Struthio camelus: one gene and its partner. The protein of the gene in region 1 purifies or fractionates together with the protein of each later gene. This does not show direct contact. Links are inferred from orthologs where the notes say so. Each region holds a gene or a part of one and is shown on either strand. Other genes may lie near its edges.

Evidence for each region. The genes of interacting proteins can lie anywhere in the genome.
Region 2: the proteins of APAF1 (region 1) and CYCS purify together in Homo sapiens (affinity purification with western blotting; 3 studies listed by BioGRID and IntAct, with this or other methods). This does not show direct contact. The link is inferred for Struthio camelus from reciprocal best matches to the Homo sapiens genes APAF1 and CYCS.

What each region holds. Positions count from the first base shown.
Region 1 is NC_090942.1:53,371,126-53,379,075, reverse strand, and holds the start of APAF1 (apoptotic protease-activating factor 1), read right to left. Parts: upstream 3,099-7,950; 5' UTR 2,712-3,098; intron 1,164-2,711; 5' UTR 1,160-1,163; coding exon 1,022-1,159; intron 761-1,021; coding exon 571-760; intron 1-570. UniProt on the Homo sapiens protein: Oligomeric Apaf-1 mediates the cytochrome c-dependent autocatalytic activation of pro-caspase-9 (Apaf-3), leading to the activation of caspase-3 and apoptosis. This activation requires ATP. Isoform 6 is less effective in inducing apoptosis.
Region 2 is NC_090943.1:38,123,366-38,130,535, forward strand, and holds CYCS (cytochrome c), read right to left. Parts: upstream 3,011-7,170; 5' UTR 2,880-3,010; exon of another isoform or gene 2,767-2,879; intron 1,692-2,766; 5' UTR 1,684-1,691; coding exon 1,515-1,683; intron 1,332-1,514; coding exon 1,183-1,331; 3' UTR 104-1,182; downstream 1-103. UniProt on the Homo sapiens protein: Electron carrier protein. The oxidized form of the cytochrome c heme group can accept an electron from the heme group of the cytochrome c1 subunit of cytochrome reductase.

The DNA of each region.
Region 1 (7,950 bases):
AGGCTTGTCCCACGAGAACTAACAGTTTATCTCATATCAGTCAAAGATGACAGTGATGAAAACTTATGTAAAATTTAGGAACTTATTCAGGGTAACTAAAAGATCTGTTGGAGAGTATTAAGCAACCTATTACCTAGATTTACTGTTGGTATGTGGGGGGTGAGAGATTACAGATTAACCTACAAGGGAATATCAGAATTTCAGAGACTGTAGCTTTTTATGTTAGAGTCAGCTTCTTGAATATATACACACATAAAGTCTTTCACATACAACAAAAATGTTGAGATTTAGATAAAATTGTGAGGGGTTCAGATTTCTGTTTTTTTAAGGTAAGTGTTACTAAGGAGGAGCGTTTTCAAAATGACCTGTGTAAGACATAATCATCCTCTCACACCATATTAATTCTATGAAATACAACAATATTGACTAGTACAATACCAAAGCAAACGAATACATCAACTACCCCTTTTTCATCAAAACAGGGGTTAGTCAGTCATTTAGTAAGGGGGGAAAAAAAAACCAACAACTTGTCTTTACTTTAAGCACAAGGATTGCCATAGATATACTGACCATATGAAGTCATTCCATCCATAGAACTCTTTCCATTACCAGAGGAGATGACAGGGATGCCATCCTGAAGAAGTGCAGCAAGATCTCTGTACCCTTCATGAAGCAGTGCATTATAGAAAGATCTATATGAATTATTATCTTTTGTAAGAAGAATGTTTATTAGCATAGCTGCTCGCTCCTTCTGCGTATTCTAGAACAAACAATAGAAAAGATGTTATATAAAACTAAAAGAGCTTATAAATCATTATTCTGTCACCCTGTGTTTATTATTCTAGAAAAAGGCCTCAACTTCATCCAAGCACTTAACTTAATAATAATTGCATGCTAAGCATATGCTTGAAGAATCTGCTGAATCTAGGAGTAATATAGACTGAAATAAATATGTAGAAAAAGGATGTTAACACACGTGGGCCCTCTAGGACCAAAAAAAACCAGTGAAAGATGATTCTACCTGTTGTTTTACTTTCTCCTCCTCCTGTAACGTCAGTACTTGGTCAGCAATCATATGATCCATAATGTATGAGGTCTTGATGTCTTTTTCCAATGCTTGGCGATTCAGAAGTAAGTAATTTCTGCTCTTCACATCCATGTTTCTTCAGGGTGGAAAGGAAAAAAAGAGTCAAGCTGGAACCAGAACACAATTTAAAAGTACAGAGAAAATAGTTTTTAAATAACTTCGAATCTGATTTTTAAAAGGCAAAAAAGTAGCAGAGCAGCTATATTAGTGGAAAGTACAGTGAGTCTTCAGGCAAGCTCATACTACAAACTGCAGAAAGCCGAAATATTTAGTCGTTTTTCACTTTTGTCTTGATACAACAATAGCATGAAAATGTTTCTATGAATTCTATCATACGGCTTATGATTCACTAATCCAGCTTGACTGGACAGTATGAAGGCATGTTAATAGTTCACAAGCTACTGTGAATATGAATAGTGTTCTTCAAGTATTATTTAGATGCCATATACTCAAACATATTATGTTTGAATAAAAAAGTTCAGTTGAGCATTATTATATTTAATCTAACTACAATAGCTCTCCGACTGTTCCTCTTAGGAGCATACAAAGCAGGAATAAAAACATTTCATTCTTTAACAATTAGACTCACAGTGAAACCATGTGCTCATTAAGTGAATGAAAGTTTTCGTTTAAAAAAAGAAATAGTGAAGTACTGCTAATTTTTGCAAAAGAAAGCATTAACATGAGTCCTTTTCCAGGTTTGTACCAAGTTATTTTTATGAAAACTTGCAAAACTAAAGAATCACAGTTTGTACAAGCTTCTTGTACATTAGGATCTTGCCAGATACTACTAAAAAAGATACTCATTGTCTCCCTCTGCATCCTTCAAATTTTTCAAGTCCTTGGATGATGTAATTGGGAGAACAGGATGAGAAAGATGACTAGGCTTGTGGCTGACAGCACTGCAACAGAAAATAAGCTCCCTGTGTAACAAATTTCACAAGACAAAACTCCGTTTTCTCCAGCCCTGGCACTCCATACAGGTAAAGTCAGATGGAGGAGCCTGACACATTGCAGAAAATGAGCAAATCCAACACCAACGCTGCCAATGAGTGGCCTTCCTTCTGCAGCATCTGACACACAGCAACAGAGAATCAATCCGTGTTCTTCCTATATTTCATAAAATAACGTGGTGAAGACAAGAAAAGGTGAAAGCTATTTTCTATCACACGGAGGTTTTTCAGCGCTGGCCAATTGCCAATGAAAGTCCCAAAATGGTCTCTTCATTCGCACTCCTGAGTGACCACCAGAAACTACATATGCAATTGAAAGTTGCCCCCACAGAGCAACTATGAAACTGCCCAAGTGTTCACTTTCTTCTTTCCTCCCTCTCTCCCTCTCATTTAGGAAGCAGGTAGATGCAGAACCTTTTGATAAGCCTGTGAAGGAGCGCCTCTTTAGCCATACAGAGGAAATTTCCTGTTTTCACCGAAAATTATGCGGATAAGAACATCTTTCAAGCTCCTTCTAGGCACCGCATGGGAAGGACACACGGAAATGCCGCCGCTACTCCCAGTCGGAAGGTCTGCGGGCTAAAGTACCTCGATCAACACACACAACAAATGCTAAAAGACACCGCCTCCCCCCCGCCGCCCCCCGGCCCCGCAAACACCCTCGGCGTTACCTCGCAGCCAGGCAAGGCGTCCAGGATTCCCCGCTGCAGTCACCGGCACCGGCGCCTCCCCAGAACGGAACAGAAACCGAAACGCCCGCACCAGGCTCCCGTCACCAACAGGCCCGCCGCCAAGGCCCGCAGGCCACGGGCCGTCCGCGGCGGGCCGCCCGCCCTCCTCCTCCTCCGCCGCGGACTGGCCCGGCCCAGTCCAGTCCCGGCCCCGGTTCCAGTCCCGGTCCCGGTGCGCCCAGGCAGCTTTCCCCGCGGCCCGAACGGGCGAGGCGGGCGAACTGCCCCGACCGTTACGTCGGTTACCGATCGGCCGTCGGCAGCCACCGGCAACAGGCTCCCGCCTCGCGCCGGGAGGCGGCGTCCCCCACCAGCACTTCCTCCTTCCGGGCCTGGGGCGGGGGGAAGCGCCCCTCCCACCGCCGCTGTGGAGGGCTGGGCCCCTCGCTCGGCAGGGCGGGGGAGGGGCGCGCGCCTGACGTGGCGGGCCGGGGGGTGGCGGCTGCCAACGGCTGTAACGGGCCGAGGTAGCGGCGGCCCGCGCGAGAGGTAGGGGGCCGGGGGAAGGGCGTGCGGGCGCGTGAACGAAGCTGTGGGGCTGCCGCGCCGTCCCGCCCCGTGTGGCGCTGCCCCAGGCTGAGGGGCGTCGGGGCTGCCGGAGCGATAGGGGCCGTGGGAGGAAGAAGGGGGTCGGCGGGGGAGGCTGGAGCGGCATCCCGGCCGCCGGCAGCGGGGGTTGGGGGGCGGGCGGGCGGCGCCCCTCGGCGTGGGGGAAGTTTCCTCGGAGCGATGTGGCGAGGCGGGGGGGGGGGGGAAGAAGACGACGAGGCGGCCGTGGGTGCCCACCGTCTGCGTGGAGAGGGCCGGCTTTCAGCGTGCCCCGGCGGACTGAGCAGGACTGGGGGGCGAGAAGGGCTTTGGGGGGGGGGGATACAGGAGTGTTCCTGTGTCGAGCTGCTCTTTCTCGTGTCGCACCGGGGTGCACTGTGCAGTTTGCCTTTTTGAAAGCTGAGTTGTTTTTGTGTTAAACTCCTGGCGCCCTTCAGATCACTTTTTGATTTTAATCTCCTAATTACGTGCTCTCGAGCCCAAAAGTGTTTTAAAAGTTATAAAATATCTCTTTTGCCATTTTTTGTTTTGGTGAGCAAGAGGTTGTTTTGTGTTTTTTTTTTTAATCTTTCAGACAAAGAAGACTTCGTAGTACTGTTGCTCACAAACAGCTCCAAGCTTCATACCCTTGTGACAGATTTGGATTTTAAACAGTGCCTTTTTCCCATGCTTGCAACTGCGTAAGTATCTCTGATAGTTCACTCTTTATGTTTTGACATGTAACTAAGCTACGATACTGCAAAGTGTTCCAGAAAGAAGCGTGATATTTTTGTCTCAGATGGCTCTAAACCAAAAATCCACAAAGTATCTAGTTTATTTTGTGTCATGTGCTGGAAGATTTTAGGCTTAGAAATTCCACATTATACTTTCACCTGGTTGTTTTGAATATGCACTTTGATAGTCTTGGAAAGTGGAGATTATTAACTCCTTGCCTGAATCTATTGGGACCTTACTTCTAGCAGAGAGGAAGTGATAACTTGTCTTTTATATAGATACGTTATTTCATTCATTTTTGTATTTTTATATTATTGCTTTTATATGAAATCATTAAAACAGAATTATTTGTAAATTAAATCTTGATTTGTAGTCCCATATTTAAAAAGGATAAGATGCACTTTTCCTCTTTAATGTGCAGTAGGCAATAATTTACAAAAATCTACGAGTAAAGCAGGATAGTGAAATTGATTATCATCACAGTGTTATCAGCAACAACTATAAAAAAAGGCATATTGCTCGTCTTTCTTTTAATCATTGCGATTTTAAACATGTTCTGAAAATGGCTTGTTTCACTACAGGTAGCTGAAATATTTCTGGAAAGGTGAAATTAGCTTAAGTGAAGAATCAGACAGTTCACTCTGTTCAGAAAATGTGAAAGCTGTAGCCCTATTGTATACAAATGAAAGTTTTCACAAAAAGTGTTATGAAGGTATTCCAGCACTTTGTTTTCTAGCTGTGTGAATTTTTATATAGTAAGCATCAAAGGACACATTTGGGAGGGTCGTGTAACTATATGGAGGAAGTTTATATCTGGGAACACTTGTCACTTGCAAGTAATTAGTTGTGGAGGTCTATTTTGTTTGGGTTTTTTTTTTTTTTGCTAGCTCTCTTTTTTTGCTTCTGCTTCTTAAGGACACAAAATGTCTGAGGTTAAGCAGAGGAAAAGAGGTATTTCTTCTTCCAAGACCAATGAAGATTCACAGAAGGCCAAGAAAGACAGTAATCGTGGGAAGCTGGTAAATCCCAGGACTAGCAGTAATCAGATTTCCTCTTGGATAGACTCACGGACAGCCTTGAGCCTAATATCCCTTGCCGTTTGCCTGGCACTGACCTGGTAGGTAATCCTCTGTAGTGGATTTCATCACGTTCTTTCGTATTCTATGCTATGTTCGGTCATGGACAATGTGATTAGTAATATTTGAACACAGCATTTGAGTGAAGAGCATATACTTCATAGGAACATATTAAAGCTAGAAAGGGTAAAGAAAAGAATAGTGATAATCACAAGAAGTGTGGAAACCCTGTCATACAGTGAGGGGTTATAGAAGCTTGATCTCTTTTGTCTTGCTAAAAGCTTAAAAGACGCCTTGCTCATGAATTGTAAATACCTGCTTGGGAGACTACATCTAACTGTGAAGAGCACCTTAATCTGACAAAAAGTGCAAGGCTCGGTGGGCAGGGAACAAATAAATCGTCAGCAGAAATGAAGTATGGTTTTATGTAAGTACTTTGCTTAGCAATGTGGCAAATTGCTCATCGAGTAGAGTCTTCCAAGTAAAGATCAAATATCCTTGTAAAAGGTGTTCTAGAATATCTTAGTGTCATCGGTATTTTAGTTCCATCAGAAGCTATGAGCTTCATGCAGAAATGCTATGATGAAATTCTCTAAATTCTAGTGCAAGAAATGAGACCGGATTATTACGCTCTTGACTTCACTCTCCACGTTTTGGCAAAATTCGTACTTATTTTAATATCACCTAGATTTCTTTATGTAAATTTTTGAGGAATAGAATGTCATAGTAGAAAAAAATGATTAGTAATGCCTCTGCTTAATCTATTTTACAAATCCATTTACGTTTGTTTTGCATCTATCTATATATAGGTAGTGTTTTAGCTTTTACTGCATAGCTTAATCTGTACAGACTGTATTATAGATCTTTTGAAACTTTTACTTGCATTTCAATTAAAATAAACAAAAACAACTATCAAATTACAAAACCAAAAGTAAAGTAAAATTTTTAAATAGTGTATTGTTCTAGATGCATTTGTTCTCATCTGAGAGGATCCTTGGATAGTCTGCCTAGGTCTGCAGTATACCTTGTTTTGGGATTGATAAACATCCATCAAATTCAGTTTTTTGCTCTATTGTCTCATTTCCTTTGTAACTGGACAAAATGCTGACAGTTCAGCTACCACGGTCACAGTTAACAAATATATCATATATATGAAGTGCAGGATTGAGATTTCCACTATCGGTATCTGTTCACAAAGCTAGTATCATCACAACAACAGCTATTCACGTTTTCCTACAACACACCATAGGTTCTTGGATGGTTACAATTAAACAAAATTAGAGCTAGCCAGCTTTTCTAAATCTAAAGTTCCTTTACATGATTTTGTGATGCCTTGCAAGAGTCCAAATTGATTTAGTTGTGTTTTAATTCCAACAGATAAATGATACTTTTCAATAAAACATACCTTGCTTATGAGGCAATGCATTGTAAGCATTTAATGGCCTAAGAGCGTAAGTAGTATTTTTGTCATTTTTACTGTTTGATAGGCATGCTATGTAAAATGAGGCACACCTCCTAATGTTTTCTTGTTTTTCTGTTTCGATTGGAAGCTGTTAACTCCAGTAAACTTCCTTAAACCCTGTTTTTTCCCCTCATATATTGATTTAGCAAATTTCATTAATGCAAATCCCTGCATTAACAGATCCCTGTGAAATCAGGTCCTATAACACTTAATATATGCCAATTATATAATTTATTTACTGTTTATTTATTTACAATTTGCAGGTTCCTATTTCAGCAGACAAGTCAATTTGCTGATATGGAAAAAAAGTATAGTTTCTTGCAGCAAGAAGCTGAAAAATTCCTGGACATGGAAAATAAAGTTAACTTAATTTCTGAAAAGGTAATCATTAACATTTTAATTGGATAATCTGTGAACGTTTGCCAATATGTTATTTCACTGTCATTTAGTCAAATGTAACTGATTTTTTTTTTTTTTAGATAAACATTTATAATGGGTTCTAGTTGTCTGCAGGTAGGCCTTGTATAAGTATTTCATTGAAACATTTGTGAAGAAAGCTCAGGCAATCAGGTCTGACTTCTGATATGTTACAGTTTTTTTTTTTACTGATTTGCCACTGAAGCTTGGTCAAGTCACTTTGACTTTCTCTGTCAGTTCGCTACATGTTTAAAATAGAGATAAATGTAATTATCTACTTCTGTAAAGTGCTTAGACTATGATAAAGAATGCTGTGAAGCACTATATATTATACTTGCAGCAGGACAACTAATAAAATTTAGAGGCTGCGCTGCTTAGAATCAGTTATTTAAACACTTGATTGATCATGTGTTTGTGTTAGAATATCAGCCTTACTGAAAAGCATTAATGAGGAAATGGTAGTCCTGGTGACAATAGTGGCAAAACTCTTACTGACTTTATCAGAACTAGTGTTTCACCGAACACATGTCCTTAGTTATTAGTATGTTTTTATTCTTCATTATTGTTGTCCTTAAGACTGTAAATACTCCTTTTTTAGCAAGTGTTCAATTAAAAAGAAAATTTAGGTGCCTTAGGAATCAGATTTGTCTTAATTTTATCAATGTGACTGTGTCAATCCACACAATTGTTTGTGGATGTTAGTACAGTGATTATATCTCAGTATATTTTTGCAGACACTAAACTATTTTAAATAATTTATGCACAAACTTCATTCTGCCAGTACTGTTTTGCATGTAATTCAAATGTACATTGATTGGAAGAAAATTTACAAGGATTTTTAATAGTAGATCAGCCTGAATAATATGAAAGACATACTGAAGGAGCAGTTAATATTTTTTTCCCTTGCTACTTTATTTTCCTTTCTGTGCATCCCATTAGCAAGCAGAAAACTTAGTTTGGC
Region 2 (7,170 bases), on another chromosome or scaffold:
TTCTTGTAAGAAGTGTTTTTCAGGTGTAAAACCCGAAACCAAACATATAGCTTTTTTCTACACTCCCATTTTGTCTCACTAAATTTCAGACACATACAGCAAACAAGATTTTGAGTTCTTTAATTTACAATGTTGATCACTCTTTGAATTGGGCCTTGCCACTGGTACACAGTAAATACATTCAGCTTAACAATTCACTTAGTATGAAAAGATGCAGTTAGAACTTTAAAAACACACTATTTTACACTGCATGAAATAGAACCTTCTAAAGTAATGACACAAGGCAAGCACAGACACAGAGGAAGACAGCCTCCTTTTAGTCTACCAGTGCATTCTTGCCTACACCCCTTCAGCAGAATTTGCTTGTAACAATAGATTTTAGGTTAACACTCCTGTTGAAGTGAGATTTAGTAACATTCAGCTTAGTGTTCAGCACTTATCTTTCCAGGACAGTACAGTTCTCTGTTCCATTTATTAAGCTATGAACAGGTATGTTCTGAAGAGTTATTGAACAAAGGGTTTCAACAACACTTCAAAAATTGAAAATTTTTCTGATATAGTCTATGCTCTACTGGTGCATGCAGCTCTCAAAGTCTGGATAAACAGGCAACATGCTTCCCCTAGAAGTGGGTTGGTACAACTGCCATATCACAGGTAGTACTTATGAAGTCAGATGAACTTGCATTCTTATCCCAAGCTTTAGCCAGATGAACGTATACAACCACACATTGCACTGGTCAGGATTAGAAAAATACCGTTTTGTTATCTTGCAGGTAATGTTACAAATGATGCATTTGGAAGGATGCAAAAACCCACCCTACTTTTTTTAAACCACGAAGAGGTGGGCTGCCAAAGCTATTATGCTGTTTGCAATGACTCGCTTGATATTTTTTACAATGAAGAGGCAGGAAATGTTTATTTTTTTTCCTCCATTTAATTCCATGATCAAGAATGACTGAACATTGTATTCACTGATGTCTACCCAGTTACATAAGGTTTCCTTAAGTTATGGCTGCCAAACAAGCATGTATTCCAACCACCCACCACAAGCAACATTATTTGGCGAGTGAGGCAAATTTTAAGGTTAGATACAGTACATGTAAAAATAGAAAGTTTAAAAACCATCACAGACATTTCCATTGCCATCTCCTTTGTGAAATAAATAAGGCAGCAGATAAAAGTTTACTTAGAAGTAGCATCTTTGAGATATGCTATTAAATCTGCTCTCTCAGACTTCTTCTTAATACCCGCAAAAATCATCTTTGTTCCTGGGATGTACTTCTTTGGATTTTCCAAATACTCCATCAGAGTATCCTCACCCCAGGTGATTCCTAGCGAAAAGGAGGAAAAAAAAGAGACAGTGACCTTAAAAAATAAGCAAACAAATCCCTCCCCCCCCAACATTTATTTTCTTGTCCTCCATGGTATTTTACTTTTTGGCAGACTTCCGGACCTATCACTGAAAGCTTGCTGTTTTTGTGCCAAGTAACTTAAAAGTGCTCTTTTGAGTTTACCTTTATTCTTATTAGCATCTGTGTAAGAGAAGCCCTCAGCTTGTCCAGTCTTACGTCCAAACAGGCCATTCAGGTTGGGTCCAGTCTTGTGCTTGCCTCCCTTTTCAACTGTATGGCACTGGGAACATTTCTGGACAAAGATCTTCTTCCCCTTCTCAATATCTCCCATTTTCAGTACTAGGGTGAGAACATATACAGAGGTTAATGTCACAACATCAAGGTCAACTATTTAACAGAAGCCTTAAAAGGGTCCTGTTGGTTTACAAAACCATATACACTAGCCCATTAATCTCCAGAGTTTCTTCCCACAGATAGGGTTTCTGGGTCTGGAGTTTCTGGGTAGAAACTTCCTGGGTTTGAAGATTAGCATAGAATCACTGAACTAAGCAGAACATATTTAAGGTGATAAACATCATGCTTGAACAGCAGGAAAAGCCTTCCCCCACCCAAAGTAATTGCTTTACAGCATTTAATATCACTCTACCCTTCAGAAATTATTTCAGCAATATTTATTTCCCTTCCTGTCACATAGCTTCAATATCTCCATTAAGACAGTTCCCTAGTCATGAACAATCTTGTATAAAAAAAATCATCCTCACTGATACACTCGTAAGAAGGACAAACTAACGATCTGTGTATTTTTCCATTTCTGCTCGAAAAGGAACCCAGCACACCACCTAGTAAGGAGCCAAGGGAGGCAGGCAAGCAACTTGCCCGCCTGCCTCCCGCCACGAGCCGGCATGCCTCCTCAGCACCCGCCAGGAGCAACGCTATTTGCATACAAGCCCTCAAAGGCAACCGCAATTCCGAGGCTGCCCTTGAGGCGGGCAGCCCGCCCGCCGCGCGGGCACAGCCTCGCGGCGAGCGCTGCTCCTCTCCTCCTGACACGGCCCCAGGGCCGCGGCCGGCGCCGCCACCCTGCAAGGGCGCAAGGGGCCGGCGGCGCGACCACCTCTCCCGAGCGGGCCCGGGTGCCCCCCCAGGGCATCCCGGGACACGGACGCCCTCGCCACTAGGCCCCACGGTGACCTTCTTGCCGCAGCCCGGCCGCCTGCTTAGGCCGCGACGCCGGGCTCCTCCGCCTGGGTCGACGGAGGTGGGCAGCGGGCGCCCCGGCCCCGGCCCGGCCCGGCCCAACCCTCCCCTTCCCCCCCCCCCAGGGCCTAACGGTCCCGCCGAGCCACGGTAACCGCTGGCTGGCTGGCTGGCTGGCAGCGGCTCCCCGCCGCCCCCCGCCGGCGGCTGCACGCACCTGCGTGCCCGGCCGCCCCGCGCCGCGCCGCGCCGCGCCGCGCCCACGGCGGTGATCACCAGCCCGACCGCCCGCTCACCGTCCCGACGACTGAGCCCAAGGACACGCCGTACCCCGCCCTATGTAAGCCGGTGTCGCTGCAACCAAGCCACGCCGGCCTCGGCCCGCCCCTGTTTTAGCGCGGCAGCCAGTCAAGGACCGCCTTAGAGACCTCTGATTGGCTCTCGCCCCCGTCCGCCAAGATAGACGTCACGGCGCTGGAGGCTAGCGGGGTAGGTTGCGGCGAGGGGGAGCCGGGTTGCCTTCTCCTTCCCTCTCCCCCTCCCCCCTCCTCCTTGCGGAAGGGCATCAGACGTAACGCTGATACGTAAGGAGCGTCAGGAGGCACGAGCGCGGGGCGGGTCCCCGGCGCGTGCGCACAAGGGAATGCGAAGCAAGGGTCACGAGGCGCCCCGCGGAGGCTGCGACCTTAGCGGGCGGCTCGGGAGGCCGCGTGGCGGCGCGGTGGGCGGGGCCCGGCCCGGCCCGACCGTGACGTGGTGGGGGAGCGCCCAGCCCCGCCCCTCCCCTCCCCCGGCGCGGCTGTGACGGCCGTTGCCGCCCGTTGCCTCTGGGGGTTTCAAGTTCTGGCACTTTCGAAAGCTTGAGGAGACGATCACCGTGAGTGCGGGCGTGTTTCTTTTTTAAGTCAAGGCGAGCAAGGGGCTAAGCCCCTACTTTGAGGCTGTTGCATTTTAAAGAGTTGTTTAAGAGAAACCGGAGAATAAAGTGATAGAAATATCGCAGTTAGCAAAAGGATGCTAAAAATCTCGCAAACTTGAGAAAGATAAGCGTGTTAGTGAAGGTGCCACCATAAAGAACTGAGGAGGAGGCAAAAGCACATCCGTATCTTAGATCTCGTGTGGAATGCTAAAGTCTTTGAGTTTTGAAAAAGCTAAGAGTGTTATTGAAAGTGCCACCTTAAGAAAAGAGGAGGGTGCCCCAGACCCATTGTCCCAGCAAGTTGGACAATGTTGTAAAGCTTGAAAAAAATTATATCAATAAACTACAAGTATTTAAAACAGGATTTGAATATTGAATTTCAGATGTAAGCACCATCTTCTTTCTGTCCTTGACAAAGAGGATGAAGAGTTCTTAAAAAGCCTCCTGTAGTAGTAATATCCAGTGTTCAAAAGGCAGAACGTCACAAAAGGTGAACTATTTGCCCTAATTATTGACATTAAACAAAATGCCAGCGTAACAGAATTTCCCAGAAGTGCCTGGCATTTGAACGAGAGTAACATCTTTTTGCATGCTCTTGCGCTATGCTGGAACTGATGTGTGATCATGTACAAAGCTGGATGGCTGTTACCACGTTGTGGAGCAGAGCTTATCTGGAGTGCCAACGTGAAGAATGAAGGAATAAGGACAGGGTAAAAAGACAGCAAAGGTTCTTCTGATGTCAAATTTTGCTGGCAATTGATAAGATTATTCAGCCAATTGTCCCTTATAAGTTGGAGAGTGTATGTTTTATGCACTGCTTATCATGTCTGCGGCATCAAACAGATGTGTCCATCCAGTTATTAACACTTCGTCACTAGGTATATGCATAATATGATACTAAGCTATAACAATTACCATATATACATAATCATCTTCTTGACTATAAACTTACTATAATAAAACTACTTTGCTTTTAATATATAGCTAAGTTCATATACTTTATGGCAAGCCAGGTAATATATGTGCAATTGAGCCACTGTAAATAGGTATCTTGACTTTTGTTTCGCGAAATTCAAATCATGCCAACCTCCCAAAATTAGGAGGTTGGCTGAAGAGATGTTGCGTAAAAACTAAGTATATTTCTATTCATTTTAATCACCATCTGATTTTGAGCATTCATGATGCGCTTGACTTATGTTTTTAGACTTTTTACCACAATTGTATGGGCTATAGACTAATTTTTTAAGTAAGGGTTGAGTGTCTCATATGATTCTAGGAGCTAACTTTATGAAACTTATATCATAACACTTAGGATAAAACCCCTGGTTTCTTCTATCTTTAAAAGAGGAATGAGCTGAAAGCACCTTCTAAGCTGCTTTAAGAATTGACAATAATTCTTAAGCTTCTTTAAGCACTTGATTAGGACTGATGCAAGCTTCTTTGAGCACTTGATGTGGACTGGAGCCCACGGACGTTCTTTCAAAAGTTCTCCCCTTCTTATCTTCACAGAACACAGACTCTTTGTAACTCTCATTTCTAGTATGTTTTGCCTTCCAAGTGCAGGTATGCTCCTGCGGAGCATTGCATGTTGAGCTTTACAGCTAACCTTTCCGAGGCACGTGTTGAGACATTGTAGCAATGTTATTTTTATTTTTCTGGGAAAGCTATTTTTGAAAGTTGTGCCTTAATTCAAGACAATTTAATCCATTTTTGGTAAACTTTAATAAAATAATGTTCTCAGGGAACATACTAGATCTGTGAGACTTTCAGCCATAAAGGTGAATATGCTAAAGATCAGCCTGTAAAATGAACAGAGGCAGAGAGTCTTCTCTGCCTCATACCTGACTGTTCAGATGTCTACTTTAAGAGTGACTGCCTCTGGTTTTGATGTAGTACCATTTTAGACAGGTATAAATGATATTAAAGTATTCACGGGATTGCATACTTTTTAAATTGTTCAGTAGAAGCTGATGTTCTGCCTAACATACGCTGATTTAGAAAATAAGTTTTCACCAGTAAGAACGGGTACCTCAAATGGAGAGGATTTGACTTAATGCGTTTGCGGGTTACCTAAGCATGAATCTGGAGCAGTGCAGTGGTAAGAACTGTTGTTGTGTCAGTGATTTAGTCTGTAATCACGGTGCTGGATGCTGGTTTTAAGAAACTGCCATACCCTGACTCATAAATCTTACCAAGTCATAGAACAGTACTGATGAATTTGCACCATTAGCATTTCTGAATTGTACTGAGGCTGTTCAGAGAACCACGTGTTTTTAATTGTCTTTTGAAATTGTATAGGAGGAAGGAGTAGTTCTCCATAGATTTTCAGGAATACAGCTGGGCTGGGCTGGAACCCTATGCTTTGAGGGTCACTTTTCAGCATTGTTAGGGTGCGAGTCCTGTAATTTGGAAGGTACTGATTGTCTTATGTTTATTATCTCTTTTAGTGGGTATTTGGACAGAGGACAGGAAGCTGTTCAGCTATACTCCGAACAGGTAAGGAAGACAGAGAGAAGACATGTTAGACTGAAGAGTCCTCGGATGAAAATGGCTGATGAATGGTGTCTCTCAAATCTTTGCTACTTGCTGTGTTTTGCACAGTCTGTGTTAGAGAAGATAAATATGCTACTCTTTGGAACAGCGGGAAAGGCAGAGTCTCTGAGATACTCTGGAGTCACCATATATTAGGCTCCTTCTTCAGGCAAAGCTAAATTTGTCCATAACATACACTTTTGTGTAGCATTTTTGTCAAACAAATCCTAGTTGGATTTTTAAGCTCTGTGTGTGGTCATGTCATGTGGCACTGTATTTATGCTTTCTGCGTTTGTCTCAGCCAACATTGTGATATCTCTGTGTTTTTTTTTTTAATAAATGAAAAGAGCTATATTAAACTGAATATTTGGATTGCATTCAATGCATATTTGTCGTCAGTGAAAAGATAAAAGCTATTGTCAAATTAAAAAGAATTGTTGTATTGTCACCTGTCTGTGCTTTGAAGATCACATGCTTGGGGCAGTTTGGTACAGAAATATTTTCTGCATCCTAGGGTACAGTGTGTCAGTTGTAGGATTTGATCTTAGCAGAGGAAGGAGGACCTCAAGAGTTCTTCCTGTATCTGCTGTTCATGTGGTTTTGTAGGGTGAGTTTGGAGGCAACTGCCTGGAACTAGGGAAGAAACCTCCTACTGTAGGAGGTTTCAGGAGGAGGGAGAGGCTGAAAATTGAGGAAGCAGGATGTTGTTCTCAGCTCCAGTTAGGCACAGGGTGAGGCAACACCCTGTAAACTATTGCAGGCATTGCAGTAAACTATTAGAAAAGTAAGTGGGCCATGTGCAATTGAATGTTAACATTTCAAGTGGGACATTGCACACTTCTCACCTCAGGGCAGCAAACAGGTAGCACAGGTAAAGAGAGACCAGCCAGTTCAGGCAGGGTGCAAAGCACAGTGGGCAGCTGGAAGGTTGCCAAAATATTTGATAACTGAAACACTCACACAACCTTATAATGCTGTGACTTACTGAGTGAAAAATTTCGTAGAAGCACAGAATCATTGAGGTTGGAAGGAACCTCAGGAGATGGTCCAGTCCAGCTGCCCCGGTTCAGAGAAGCATCAACTAGAACAGCTTGCCCAGGGTTGTGTCCAGTGGATTTAGAATATGGAGACTCTACAGCTTCTCTGGGAAACCTATTCTAGCATTCAACC